Coturnix japonica: one gene and its partners. The protein of the gene in region 1 purifies or fractionates together with the protein of each later gene. This does not show direct contact. Links are inferred from orthologs where the notes say so. Each region holds a gene or a part of one and is shown in the gene's direction. Other genes may lie near its edges.

The links.
Region 2: the proteins of SLX4 (region 1) and TOPBP1 purify together in Homo sapiens (affinity purification with mass spectrometry; 3 studies listed by BioGRID, with this or other methods). This does not show direct contact. The link is inferred for Coturnix japonica from reciprocal best matches to the Homo sapiens genes SLX4 and TOPBP1.
Region 3: the proteins of SLX4 (region 1) and SUMO1 purify together in Homo sapiens (affinity purification with mass spectrometry; 3 studies listed by BioGRID, with this or other methods). This does not show direct contact. The link is inferred for Coturnix japonica from reciprocal best matches to the Homo sapiens genes SLX4 and SUMO1.

The regions. Positions count from the first base shown.
Region 1 is NC_029529.1:10,984,714-10,988,361, reverse strand, and holds part of SLX4 (structure-specific endonuclease subunit SLX4), read left to right. Parts: intron 1-455; 5' UTR 456-824; coding exon 825-1,194; intron 1,195-1,883; coding exon 1,884-2,147; intron 2,148-2,283; coding exon 2,284-2,458; intron 2,459-3,341; coding exon 3,342-3,557; intron 3,558-3,648. UniProt on the Homo sapiens protein: Regulatory subunit that interacts with and increases the activity of different structure-specific endonucleases.
Region 2 is NC_029517.1:39,238,485-39,242,232, reverse strand, and holds the start of TOPBP1 (DNA topoisomerase 2-binding protein 1), read left to right. Parts: upstream 1-1,518; 5' UTR 1,519-1,557; intron 1,558-1,578; exon of another isoform or gene 1,579-1,963; 5' UTR 1,964-1,970; coding exon 1,971-2,051; intron 2,052-2,537; coding exon 2,538-2,672; intron 2,673-2,998; coding exon 2,999-3,142; intron 3,143-3,748. UniProt on the Homo sapiens protein: Scaffold protein that acts as a key protein-protein adapter in DNA replication and DNA repair. Composed of multiple BRCT domains, which specifically recognize and bind phosphorylated proteins, bringing proteins together into functional combinations.
Region 3 is NC_029522.1:10,247,025-10,250,772, reverse strand, and holds the start of SUMO1 (small ubiquitin-related modifier 1), read left to right. Parts: upstream 1-1,133; 5' UTR 1,134-1,254; coding exon 1,255-1,266; intron 1,267-3,748. UniProt on the Homo sapiens protein: Ubiquitin-like protein that can be covalently attached to proteins as a monomer or a lysine-linked polymer.

The DNA.
Region 1 (3,648 bases):
ACTCGTGTTTTTCTGCTCTGGAGTCTTTTGGTGCCCAGACCTTTGCTGGAGAAACTGAACCACAGTTGCTGCCGTTCCAAGTGAAACACACTGTTAGAAAGAATTAGGTTTGGGGAGCAATATAAAACCTCTGGTAAAATAGCCAGAACTGTAGCAAGCTTAGGGCTGGGAAGAAGAGACAATCAAAATGTCTAAGAATAGAGATCTAGTTTTAATGTTGCCTGGGGATTGATGACATTTCCATCTGGATATTGTAGCTAGTGCTCTTCCAAGTAATTTATAGCTGGTATAGCTGGTTTACTGTATCTTGAAAAGATGGAGAAGCCCTGAAATATCATTTGTTTAGTCTGTTTACCTTGTGTATTTGACAGCAGTTTGTTATACCCCTGACCTTTCACATCTTTCATGTGCATGTAACACCCTACATAACCCCCTTTTGTATTTCTTTGTTTCAGGGCTTTGATAGGTGTCTTTCTGATGCCTAGTAGCATACTAAGATCCTGTGCGTGCTCTGCACAAACTGCAGTGTTTACGATACAGTCTAGAGACATCTGAAGAGCCAGCTTGTCAGTGCAGTGTATGTGAAGGCAAGTGGGGTCTTTGAAGAGAAAATATGGCTGCAAATTAAGTATGGAAGAAGGAACCTTCAATACAATGAGGAAATGCCCACTGTTTTGACCTCAGTGAATTCTAGAGTCCAGAGCTCCCTAAGGTGATGGAAAAGATCATGTAGGATGCACACCTGAGCTGGTTCTGCTATTTTCTGCTGTCCTCCAGTCCACACAGTGTCATTAGGCAGCAGTGTTACTGGAACCTACAGGCCAATGGATGAACAGGACAGTGATTTTAAAGAGTTGTGGGCAAATATTTTGGGTAAAGGGAAGAAAAAATCTGAGGATGCTGAGGCTGCAAAGAGGACTCAGAAAAGATCAAAGAATACTGCAGCAAAAAGCAGACTAAGAAGAGGCAAAGTTGCTGCTAAGAGCCAAAACCATCACCTCTTTCCAGCAGCAAAGCAAAAAAACTTCCTTCAGGATTTGGGTCCTAAGATACAAACACTGGGGCACAAAGAAGACAGTGACACTGTGGCCTGCAGTAGTGGTGAGACTTCAGAAGGGGATGGAAGCAGAAGCCCTTTCCCTGCCAGCCAGCTGAGTACCACAGCCAGTGAGTGCAGCCAGGGGACTCTGACAGGTGAGTCAACCAAAACAGAAAACACACTAACTGATGAGACTGTAGTTCACTGGAGCTCTTCACCTGGAGAAGCCTTATAGCAGCACTGCTTGAAGGAGTTTACATCTTGTGTTTCCATCTGTACTTAGCTACTTAGGCTTATCAAGGCATTGAACCTAGCGGTATGCTCAGTACAGATGTTGCAAGATGCTTCATCTTTTCCAAGATAAAGTGTTAGCACAAAGGAGTCTATCAGGGAGTCATTATTCAGGGATTTTCACAATATCAGAATTTAGAAAAACACCTCTAGCGATCAGAGCAAAGAACTGCAGGAGCATCAGTACACTGTGCATTGGGAAGAGCAGGGCTTTAGGGCTGTGTTACTTGTTCCCCTCACTCATGACCTTCAGACAAGGCTTCTTTAATATTCCTCTCTGAAAGGGATGGAAAAGTATTTAAACTTCACTGTAGCAGGAAAGCTTGATACTGTTACTGTGGACACCAATCACAATGTGATTATAATAACTAAATAATAATAATAATAATAATAAAACTAAACACATTGTTCAGTTCTCTGTCTAAGAATAAGTGTTTCAAAGCTGAGCCTGGCTTAGGCTGCTGCTGGGGAAGGCTTTCCAGCAGCAATCTGGGCAGCTTAGTGATGTGTTTAAGACTGGCTGGCAAAGCTCTGGTGTTTTTTCCCCTTCTAGTAAATACTCAGAGTGGTTGTTCCCAGACGACGTTGTCTTTCCATCCTGCTACGCAGTCAGGGACCTGTTCTTCACCCACCTCGAAGACGCCACCTTTCACAGGCTCAAAGATGCGGGTGGCAGAGCTGGTAGTGGAGAGAATGCAGCAGTTCAAGAGGGTGGCACCTGATCAGCTAAAACACAGCACAGACTGTAGCTTGCCAAAGTCCTTAACTAGTGGAGATTTTGGTGGTGAAAGCCAGGAGCAGAACTCACCAGAGAATGGTAAGTTTGTCCTCTTTGCTTTTGTACGTGCAGAAAGAGTGCTGTGGGTTTAGTAATAACAAGTGTAACAGCTCCTTGCCTTTCATATGGGGTTCTTCATTCTGTCTTAGCCTATCATCTTTCCTTTCTTTGCCAGATCTCCATGATCTTCCATCCATGCAGCATGACAGTGCTCTGGCTTCAGCCCTTCAGCAGGAAACACAAAAGGAGTCCATGGAAAGCCTGGAAGATGCAGGCTTGTTCTTCTGTCAGATCTGCCAGAAGGATCTCACAGCCATGAACTCAACACGACGAGAGCAGCATGTTAACAGGTGAAGGACCAGCAGGATGAGTCCTTTCCGCATCTTCTCCCTGTTCAGTCAGCTTAGCCATTACAGAACGGTAATCTGTGAGATGACATTGACCTTTATGTCTTGAATTTGCAGGTTGCTTTGATCTCAAAGCAGAAGCTGATTGTCTTGCTCTGCAGGGCTTCTGCAGAAACATGTTAAGGCAAAGGCTGCTTTTATCAGTAGTGCCTCGGAGGGGCTGTGATTGTGGAGTGGCTAGCAAAATTAATGAGGAGCTGTTATTGTAGGTCTGTTAATTTCAACCCACAAAGTGATATTTTGCTCTGTTTTGCTAAAAATTGTTTTCCTAAGGTTGTTTAACATGTCAGTGCATACTGGAGTTGTTTGCTGAGGGAAAAGAGTTCAGAAAGATGGCAAAGTTGCATTACAGCATTTGGCCATGAGAGTGGAGAGGAGAAGGCCGTATCAGAATGATGAGCAACTAAGCTGAAATCAGTGCCCTTAATTGAACAGTTTCCTTACAAGAAATAGCCACGCTGTGGGTGAGGGGGACTCGCTGCTTTTCTCGTCAGGTGATTCCATTTTTAATGGTGGTTTATGAATTAGCTGGAACATTAGAATGGGTGCAGAAAGAGGGATTAGCTGATGGATGCACAGTACAGCTTAGAAGAAGTTTATCACTTGCACTTGCTTCTGAGCAGCAAATTGTTAATATGCCTCTGAGGCTGTAGTGTTCAGCTATCTGTTACATGTCATAGCCATCAGAGCAGCAGGCACTTAATTTGTATTTCATTAGGGGATGTTTCTGTGGCTGTTAAAGATGTGAGGTGATTGCACTTCCTTTTCTTCAATAGGGCTTAAATTTTAGCGTGGATAGTTCTGAAGCTTTGCTGTTGTCTCACAGGTGTCTGGATGAGATGGAAGAAGCACAGATGTCATCCTCCAGCAAACCAGCAATCCCTGAATGTCCCATCTGTGGTAAGCAATTCCAAACCCCCCAAAGCCGAGTCAGTCACTTGAAACGCTGTGCTGTCGAGATGGATGTTCCTCCTAAGATGCTTCTTCAGGCCGTACAGATGCAACTGTCCACACTTGGTGAGGCACCTCTTCAGTTTCCCAAGTAAGTGGTGAAAATAGAATCATAGCATGGCCTGGGTTGAAAAGGACCACAATGCTCATCTCGTTCCAACCCCCTGCTATGTGCAGGGTTG
Region 2 (3,748 bases), on another chromosome or scaffold:
AAAGTTCAGATCTTTCAGAGAGCCTGAACACAGAAAGCGTGAAATAAAGGGGGTACTCAGGTAATTAAGTTCATACTTTTGTCACAATACACATTGTTTTAGATCATGTTTGTATAGCACTCTTATATCATTTCCTAATACTTTTGGTTTTGGACAACTCTGGAGATAGGAATATAAAAGTGAATATTTTAATGGCTGTTTTTATCCAGTTGGGTAACATCTGTTTCCCAGGTGCTCTGGAAAGCCTGTCTTTAAAATAAGTTTTACAAATAAATAGTTCAAAGAGTCTCAAAGAATGTTACGTTGGCCAAGTGCTTTTGGAAAGCCAGGAAGTGAAATAGGGAAATATTTGCTTATCAGGCACTGGTTATTGTGGTTTTGTCACATTAAGCACTACTTTTGGACTACTTCCACATGGGGAACATAAAGCCATACTACACTTTCAGAAGTTGGTTTTTTTTTAAGACACATGCAGCAATTACTACCACCACTATAAGCAGAAATTGGGTAATTTCGGTATAGAAAGACAAACATTTGCATTCCTTTTTTAAAGAGACAGGAAGCTACATGCAGTAACAGCAGTAACTTTCTCCTTGAAGAATTACTTTGCACGAGCAAAGAGCAAGAAAACAAATGTGCAAGTGTGCACTGACAAGGTTTTCTGAGAGGTATGTAACAAGAAGAGCCCCAATTCTTTGCAGCGTTGTCTCCTACAACATGGATCTTTTCAAGGGACAAGCAGTTTCCCTAGCACAGAGCTGAAATTAAGAGATCTTGACCTAACAGACCAGCAGCTTATCAAGAAGTTAGTCACTTTATAGAGTCACTGAATGGTTGTGGGCTGGTAAGGGACCTTTTCAGCATACAATCTGTTCCAACCCCTAAGCAATTAGGCAGGGACACCAGTGCCCTGCAGTGGCCAAGAAGGAGGCTGCCTGTCCCTTAATGTACCTCCTATTCAACAGACACGCATTTTCACAGATCACAGACTGACCTGAGTCTGGGAAGGGAACCTCATAAAGGATCATGTAGTTCCCAACCCCCGTGCCCTGGCAGGGCCACAATACATACCATTTGATCTAGATCAGGTTGCCAGGCCCCCGTCCAACCTGGATCTGAACACCCCAAGGACGGGGCATCCACAACCTCCCTGGGCAGCCTGTTACAGGGCCTAACCACTCTCCTAGTGAAGAACTTCCCCCTAACATCCAACCTAAATCTTCCCTCTTTTAACTTACAACCATTTCCCTGTGTCCTGCTATTGTCAGCCCTTTTGAAGAGTTTACTCCCCTAAATTTTGATGGAGATTTCATTTGTTTTTGTGCATTACTAGAGATGGGAAGACTGCTATTTCTCAGGTTGTCCGTTAACTCACTCAGATCCTACGAAGTTAAGTTTTTATTACGTTTAACATCTGCCCCCATAGCGGGAAGCCGACTTCTGAGCAAACCCTCAACCTGCTCAGTTCTTAGGTGACGGGTGCCATCTCGTGGCCAAACGGTAACGCTTCCAGCTGCCATTCGCAAGCAATACTTCCTGTCGCCGCCCTTACAGGCAGTACGGAAACAAAAATAAGCCTTAACTAAAGAGCGGACGCCAATTGAGACTCATGACAGGGAAGGAGGAGCGTGAGGGGGCATCCGCCTGCCAACTATTACTCTCCACACAGCTCCACGCCCCCTGGCCTCCGCGTATGCGCAGTGCGAGTCGGCGTTTTCCCGCCTGCCGTGGTGGGGGTGGGTGCTGTGTGGGGTGTCAGGGAGCGTGGTTGGGGCAGTGTCCCACCGGCAGCACCGAGTACATAGCGGTGTTAGGGTTGGCGAGAGAGTGGGAGCTTTGCATTGTGAGTTTAGGGTGGTGGCTGAGCTTCAGTGTAAGGAGAGGCTCCGTAGGGACTCCCCCGCTTGGTGGGGGCTTCCCGGTGGGCTCGGTGTGGGGGATCTCACCGGGGTTTGCTTCTCAGTTAAAGGATGAAGGGCAGCAAGGAGCTGTTCTTGGTGAAATTCGTAAAGTCTTCTGGGAGCTCGGAGTATTTCTTGAAAGCTTTGGAGGTAGGTGCGAGCTGTGGGCCTGCTGGGTGTAACACTGAGGTGATCTCTGTGGTAGATGCAGCCTGCGTGTGTACATCTAAGAATAAAGCTGCATTTCCTTAACATAAGTATTCCACAGTAATTATATTGACCAAGGTGAACAAGTAACTCTGTCAAAACTTGCTGATATTGAACAAAATGCCAGGTAGGCCCGGAAGGTCCATGTGGTGGTTGCTTATCTGCCTTAATACTTAATAGGAAGAATATGGAGCTTTTCCCCACCTGGAGAGGTTTGGGGGAGCTGAAGGCACTGTATGACACGTTCAGTTTGTATGTAGTGTTTAAGTCTAAATACTGAGTGAAGCTGGGAGGTGACGGGGGCTCTTTAGATACCTTAGCTCTGTTGTGGGCTGTTTCAAATAGATGTGCTTGTGTAACATCCACAGTATTAACTATTTGTGGTTTATCAGTTAAGTAAATGTGGTTGTATGCATTGTTTTCCTGCAGTCTATAAAAGAATTTCAGTCAGAAGAACATCTCCACATTCTTGAAGAAGGAGCAGTGCTTGATATAAAAGAAAATGATAAATCCCTTTACATTTGTGATCCTTTTACTGGTGTTGCTTTCAATCATCTTAAAAAGGTATGCTACACATCAACTTATACCAGCTATACTCTTTTTTTTTCTAGAAGCTCTTATGGATGTTCTCAGACTCCTTTGTTTTTCTTCTTGCATTAAGTATAGTAGTATGCAGTATTCACAATGAAATCTTTAGAGCTTTGCTGCACTCTGTGTTTAGTGGTGAAGACAGCTAGTAAAGTGTAAGGATTATCATGAAGTAAGTGGAATGTATAGGATGTACTGTTTTTACCAAGGGTTCCTCAGGGACAAAGAAAACCTTCCTTGCTCCAGTGTACCTTCTGCTCATTCTCTTTCTTTTGTTTGTTTTCCATGTTATTTAATTGCAGCTCGGTTGTAGAATTGTTGGACCACAGGTAGTCCTGTACTGCATGCAGTCCCAGAGATGTGTCCCAAGAGCTGAGCATCCCGTGTATAACATGACCATGGCTGATGTAACGATATCCTGTACCACCTTAGATAAAGATGTCCGGGTAATGTATTGTACACAGTGGATGGTTGAGCAGGTGTTTCTGTGGCATGTGCTTCATTTATTGCTATGGCATCAGTTGTAGTATTTCACAGAATCACAGAATTGTAGGGGTTGGAAGGGACCTCTAGATCATTGAGTCCAACCCCCCTGCCAAAGCAGGTTCCCTACACCAAGTAGCAAGTGTAACTGTGCATAGTCTTTGTATGGTTTGTAGGGTAGTCATCATTTATGTAAAGAATTGTATAGAGAGAAAGGAAGCATTTTTATAATGTGTGATATACAAGCACGTATGTAGTGATGTATCTATATGTGCACATTTGCCTATATCATATAAGCATATGTAACACTGTAATGTCATTAACATTTGAGGATTTATTTATTGGCTAATGGATGTATGTGTTGGTCAGCTATCATGCTGAAGACAACATGTTACATTTCTGGCTTTTCAGTCTATGGTAAACATTAATTATCCAGCCAGCTGTGCTTTACGTGAGTTATGCTAAGGTTTTCTTTTGGTACACTCCAACAACTTATGTATGCTACCTGAAAGAACAGCCATCAATAAATCTTATTACTGATGGTAATATCATCTTTACTTAAGGTTATG
Region 3 (3,748 bases), on another chromosome or scaffold:
CACACACCTACTTTCAAAGCCCTGTTTCAGTGCTGACAGCCCAGGCTGGAGCTTAGAGTGTTATGTTCATCCTTTTTGCTCCCGAGCAGCTGTGCCAGCACTAGGAGCCAACTGGCTGTTCAGGAGCCTGTGTTAGGAGCCAAGTGGCTGTATCTGATGTTCAAGAGCCTGTGTTTGGTTGGTGAAAGAGGTGTTATGCAGAGGAGATGGGCCACAGATTGTGAGGGAATGCTGCGGCCCTTCCCTGCTCAGCTGCATCCATGGCCTCGAGTAGAGCCGCACCTCAGCCTGAGCTAATGGAAGGGACTCCAAGTGACTGAGATTAGTTGCAGGGAGAAAATCAGAGCAGGAGCAATACTTCCCATAATAGCCTCGCTTAATTCCCAGGTGGTTGCAGCAGCGATGGCTTTGAGTGTTCTGATAAGAGCCTTACGTGTGTGTGCTCCGTTTTTCTTTAAAGCAGCATTAATGTGGTTTAACTGCAAATATATGGGATATAGGGTTTATGCAGTTAAAGGAGAGAAGCCTGGGCTTGGTCTTTGCGTTCCTTTCTCGCGGGTCGGTCGGATCAGCTCCGCAGCGCTAACGCTCCTCGTGCCCCGGGGCTGTGACTTCCTTAACGAGGCGGAGCGGCGAGTCGGCGTGTTGTGCGACCGTGCACATGTCAGAGCCGCGCCTTTGTTCTCTATGGGGGAAGGCAGCTGAGTTCTGGCTCGAGCGAGCGTGCGCTTTAACTGCAAACTGCGTAGGAAACGTTGTTAAGAATCACACACAGGCTTTATGCTAGAGCCACACCGGCACATGGCTACAGCTGTGTCTGTCTGTGAGTACCAACAGCGAATGGGGTGAGGTCTGTCCCGTTGTTGGTACCGTGCGTTGTTTTGAAGCCGACTGGTTGGGGGTTGGGATCGTTACCGCACTGCCGCGCTGCCCCCAGCGGCCATGCCGCCCTGCCCTGCCCGCTGCCCGTCGCACTGCGCTGCCGGCCCCGCTGGCGGGCTGAGCTCCGTTCCTCGGGCCCTACGCGTGGTGCCAGCAGCGGGGCACGTCGGGCCCCTCGTGCCGACGGGCAGAGCCGGGGCGGGCAGAGCTGAGCCGAGCCCCGCTCGGGCGGGGAGGAGCCGGCGGCGGGAAGTGAGCTCAGGCGCACAGGAAATCCCGCCCGCGCCGCGGCCTGTGTTTGCGCTGCGGGCAGAGAAAGGAGCCGAGCCCCGCAGCGGCCCAGCCGAGCAGCCGCCCGCCCCGTGCCCAGCCATGTCGGACCAGGTACGCGGACGGCCCCGGCCGCGGGGGGAGCGGCGCCACGAAGCCCCGCGGTCCCGCCGCCGGCCGGGAACCGCTCCCTCCGCGCCCCCCCGACCCCCCCGGCATCATCCCCTGCAGACGGCGGGGCCGAGCGGGGCGGGGGTGTCCCGTCGGGGAGCGCGATGGGGGAGGGGGGAACGGCTCCGGCCTCGGTCGGACTCCGCGTCCTGCCCCGCTCCGTCCCCGCTGAGGGTGAATCCCCCCATCCCGCCCCGCTCGGGGCGCTCTCCTCGCGTTAGGGGGAAGGGGCGGCTCGGGATGGGGGCGGCGCGCGGCAGCTGCTGGTTTCCTTTCGCTGCCCGTTGTTGCGGTGGGATGCTGCTCCCCGCAGCGGGCTGGGCCGAGCTTGCCGAGGGCTCCCTTAGGAACGAGGACGGGGGGGCGGCGGGGGTGAACTCTGACTTGCCCGGTTCGGCGTTGTTTGCACGTATGAAACATCCGGTCCTTCACCCAGACCCTGTTTTGCCTCCGCTGGTACGCGGTGATGTTGTCAATTCTGACCCGTCAGCCGGAGACTTCAATAGTTCCTTGTACGGCAAGTTCTTGGCTCGCTCGGCAGGCACACACACACACACACACACACACACACACAGCCCTTTGCTCGCATCCGTCGCGTTGGGCTGTGTGACCTGCTGCCTGGGAGCTACGACAGCGCTCCAGTTCCAATCTGTGCTCTGTTTGACTGCGTCGTTTATAGTACTTTCATATGTCAGTGTTTTCTAACTTTGTCAGGATCGTTTGAATTCTGAGAAATCGACGTTAGCATCTACAAATGTTTCTTGCAGTGCTGTGAAGTCGAGAATAGTAACAGTGCCAGCCAGGGAATTACAGATATCCAAAACTCGATACGCTTTATCTGCTGTGCAGAATAACCTCTATGGGTTGTGAATAGAAATTATTGCTGTACGTGCTGGTGGTCATCCGCTGCTTTTCAGCCCTGTGCAGCTGTGTTGGTGAGGATGCTCCTGCCTCTCTCTGTGAGCGCAGCTGTTGCTGGCACTGATTAGGGCATGTCTCCAGCGCAGGGAGCTGCAGGGAAGTGGCTGCATAGAAGGAAAGCACAAATTCTGAACTAGATTTTGTAGGCTGTTATTCACGTGACCCATTCTGTAGTGCTCTGTGTTTATGAATTAAGGCATGTTTTAACACATAGCAGCTTTCATTAAGTAATTCTTTCTCCAGCCCAGTCCTGCTAAAGCACATACGTGTTTGGAACTGCTTGAAATATGTAAAATTTACTGTATGGGGTTACCTTTTTGGTCTTAGAATAACAGCCCACACTGATTTATTGGAAATAGCTAAGCAAAATGTTGTCATGTATCTGTCTCTGTATTGGGGAGACTGCAGTAAGAGCTTAACAGCTGCCTAATGCCACAATGTGCAGTGAGGCAGAGCTGTAGATAAACCTTGTTTATCAAAGTAATCAGTTGAAATAATATCGACTAGAATAATTTGCCTCTGTATGGGGACTGTTGAATCACAGCCTGAACCACTGTGAGCACCTGGGGAAAGGACCCAGTCAGCCCTGAGTACACAGGTGAAGGCAGTTCAGCTGTGTGACCAGGAAGGGAGAAGCCTGGCTGCAGCTCTGCTAGACCCCATGAAGGGCTGACTGCCACTGGGGAAGGATCTCTTGCTGGACATCCCTCCTTGGTGGAGCTTTCCTCTGCAAACCTGGAATCTTCTGATATGCTGAGTAATCTTCCTTTCCTTTATATCACCTTTCTGTTGTGCTGGTCCTTCCATCATCACACTGTTGTTGTAATGCCTTTCCCATCATATTGATCTGTCCCGTTGCTGCAGCCTCAAATTGGGTGTTGCTTGCAATGTGTTCCGTGTGGCCCTAGAATTAAGTTATTAAGAGGATAGATGCCATTTGACAGTAGTTAGAATTTTGGCCCACCCTTCTAGTATAAATCAAGAAGCATGTTTGGTTTAGCAACTTTATTTCCAATGGCAGATGTACTTTTTTATCATGAAAGTTACTGTAAGAAGGGCAACCTGCAAAAAGGGGCTGCTTGGTGGGTCCGAATAGGAGAGAAGAATGGTTCCCTTCTCTGAAGAATCTTGTGTTGTTTTTGCTGTAGTTGCACACAGGTGTTTGTCTCTTCCCGGACCACGAGTGGAATGCTGCAGCACAGTTTTATACATTCTCTCAGTCCTGCAGCAAATGTCAGAGTTCATTGGCTGGATAATGAAGTGCATTGCAGTTGTATGCATTCTGTAATTCTGGTTTTAAAAAAGCTGGAAGTGACTGGGTATGTTTAGACAGTGAAGCTGAGCACTAGAGAAAACTGGAGGAGGAAGTTTGTAGTACACAAGCTTACAATGCTTGTTTTGTGGTTCTGTTAGCTACAGCAGCAAATACCTGGCACACTCAGTGCAAGAAGCTTTGGGTGCTTTAAGGTCATGAATTCAGTGTTGACATAAATGTGAGACAGTA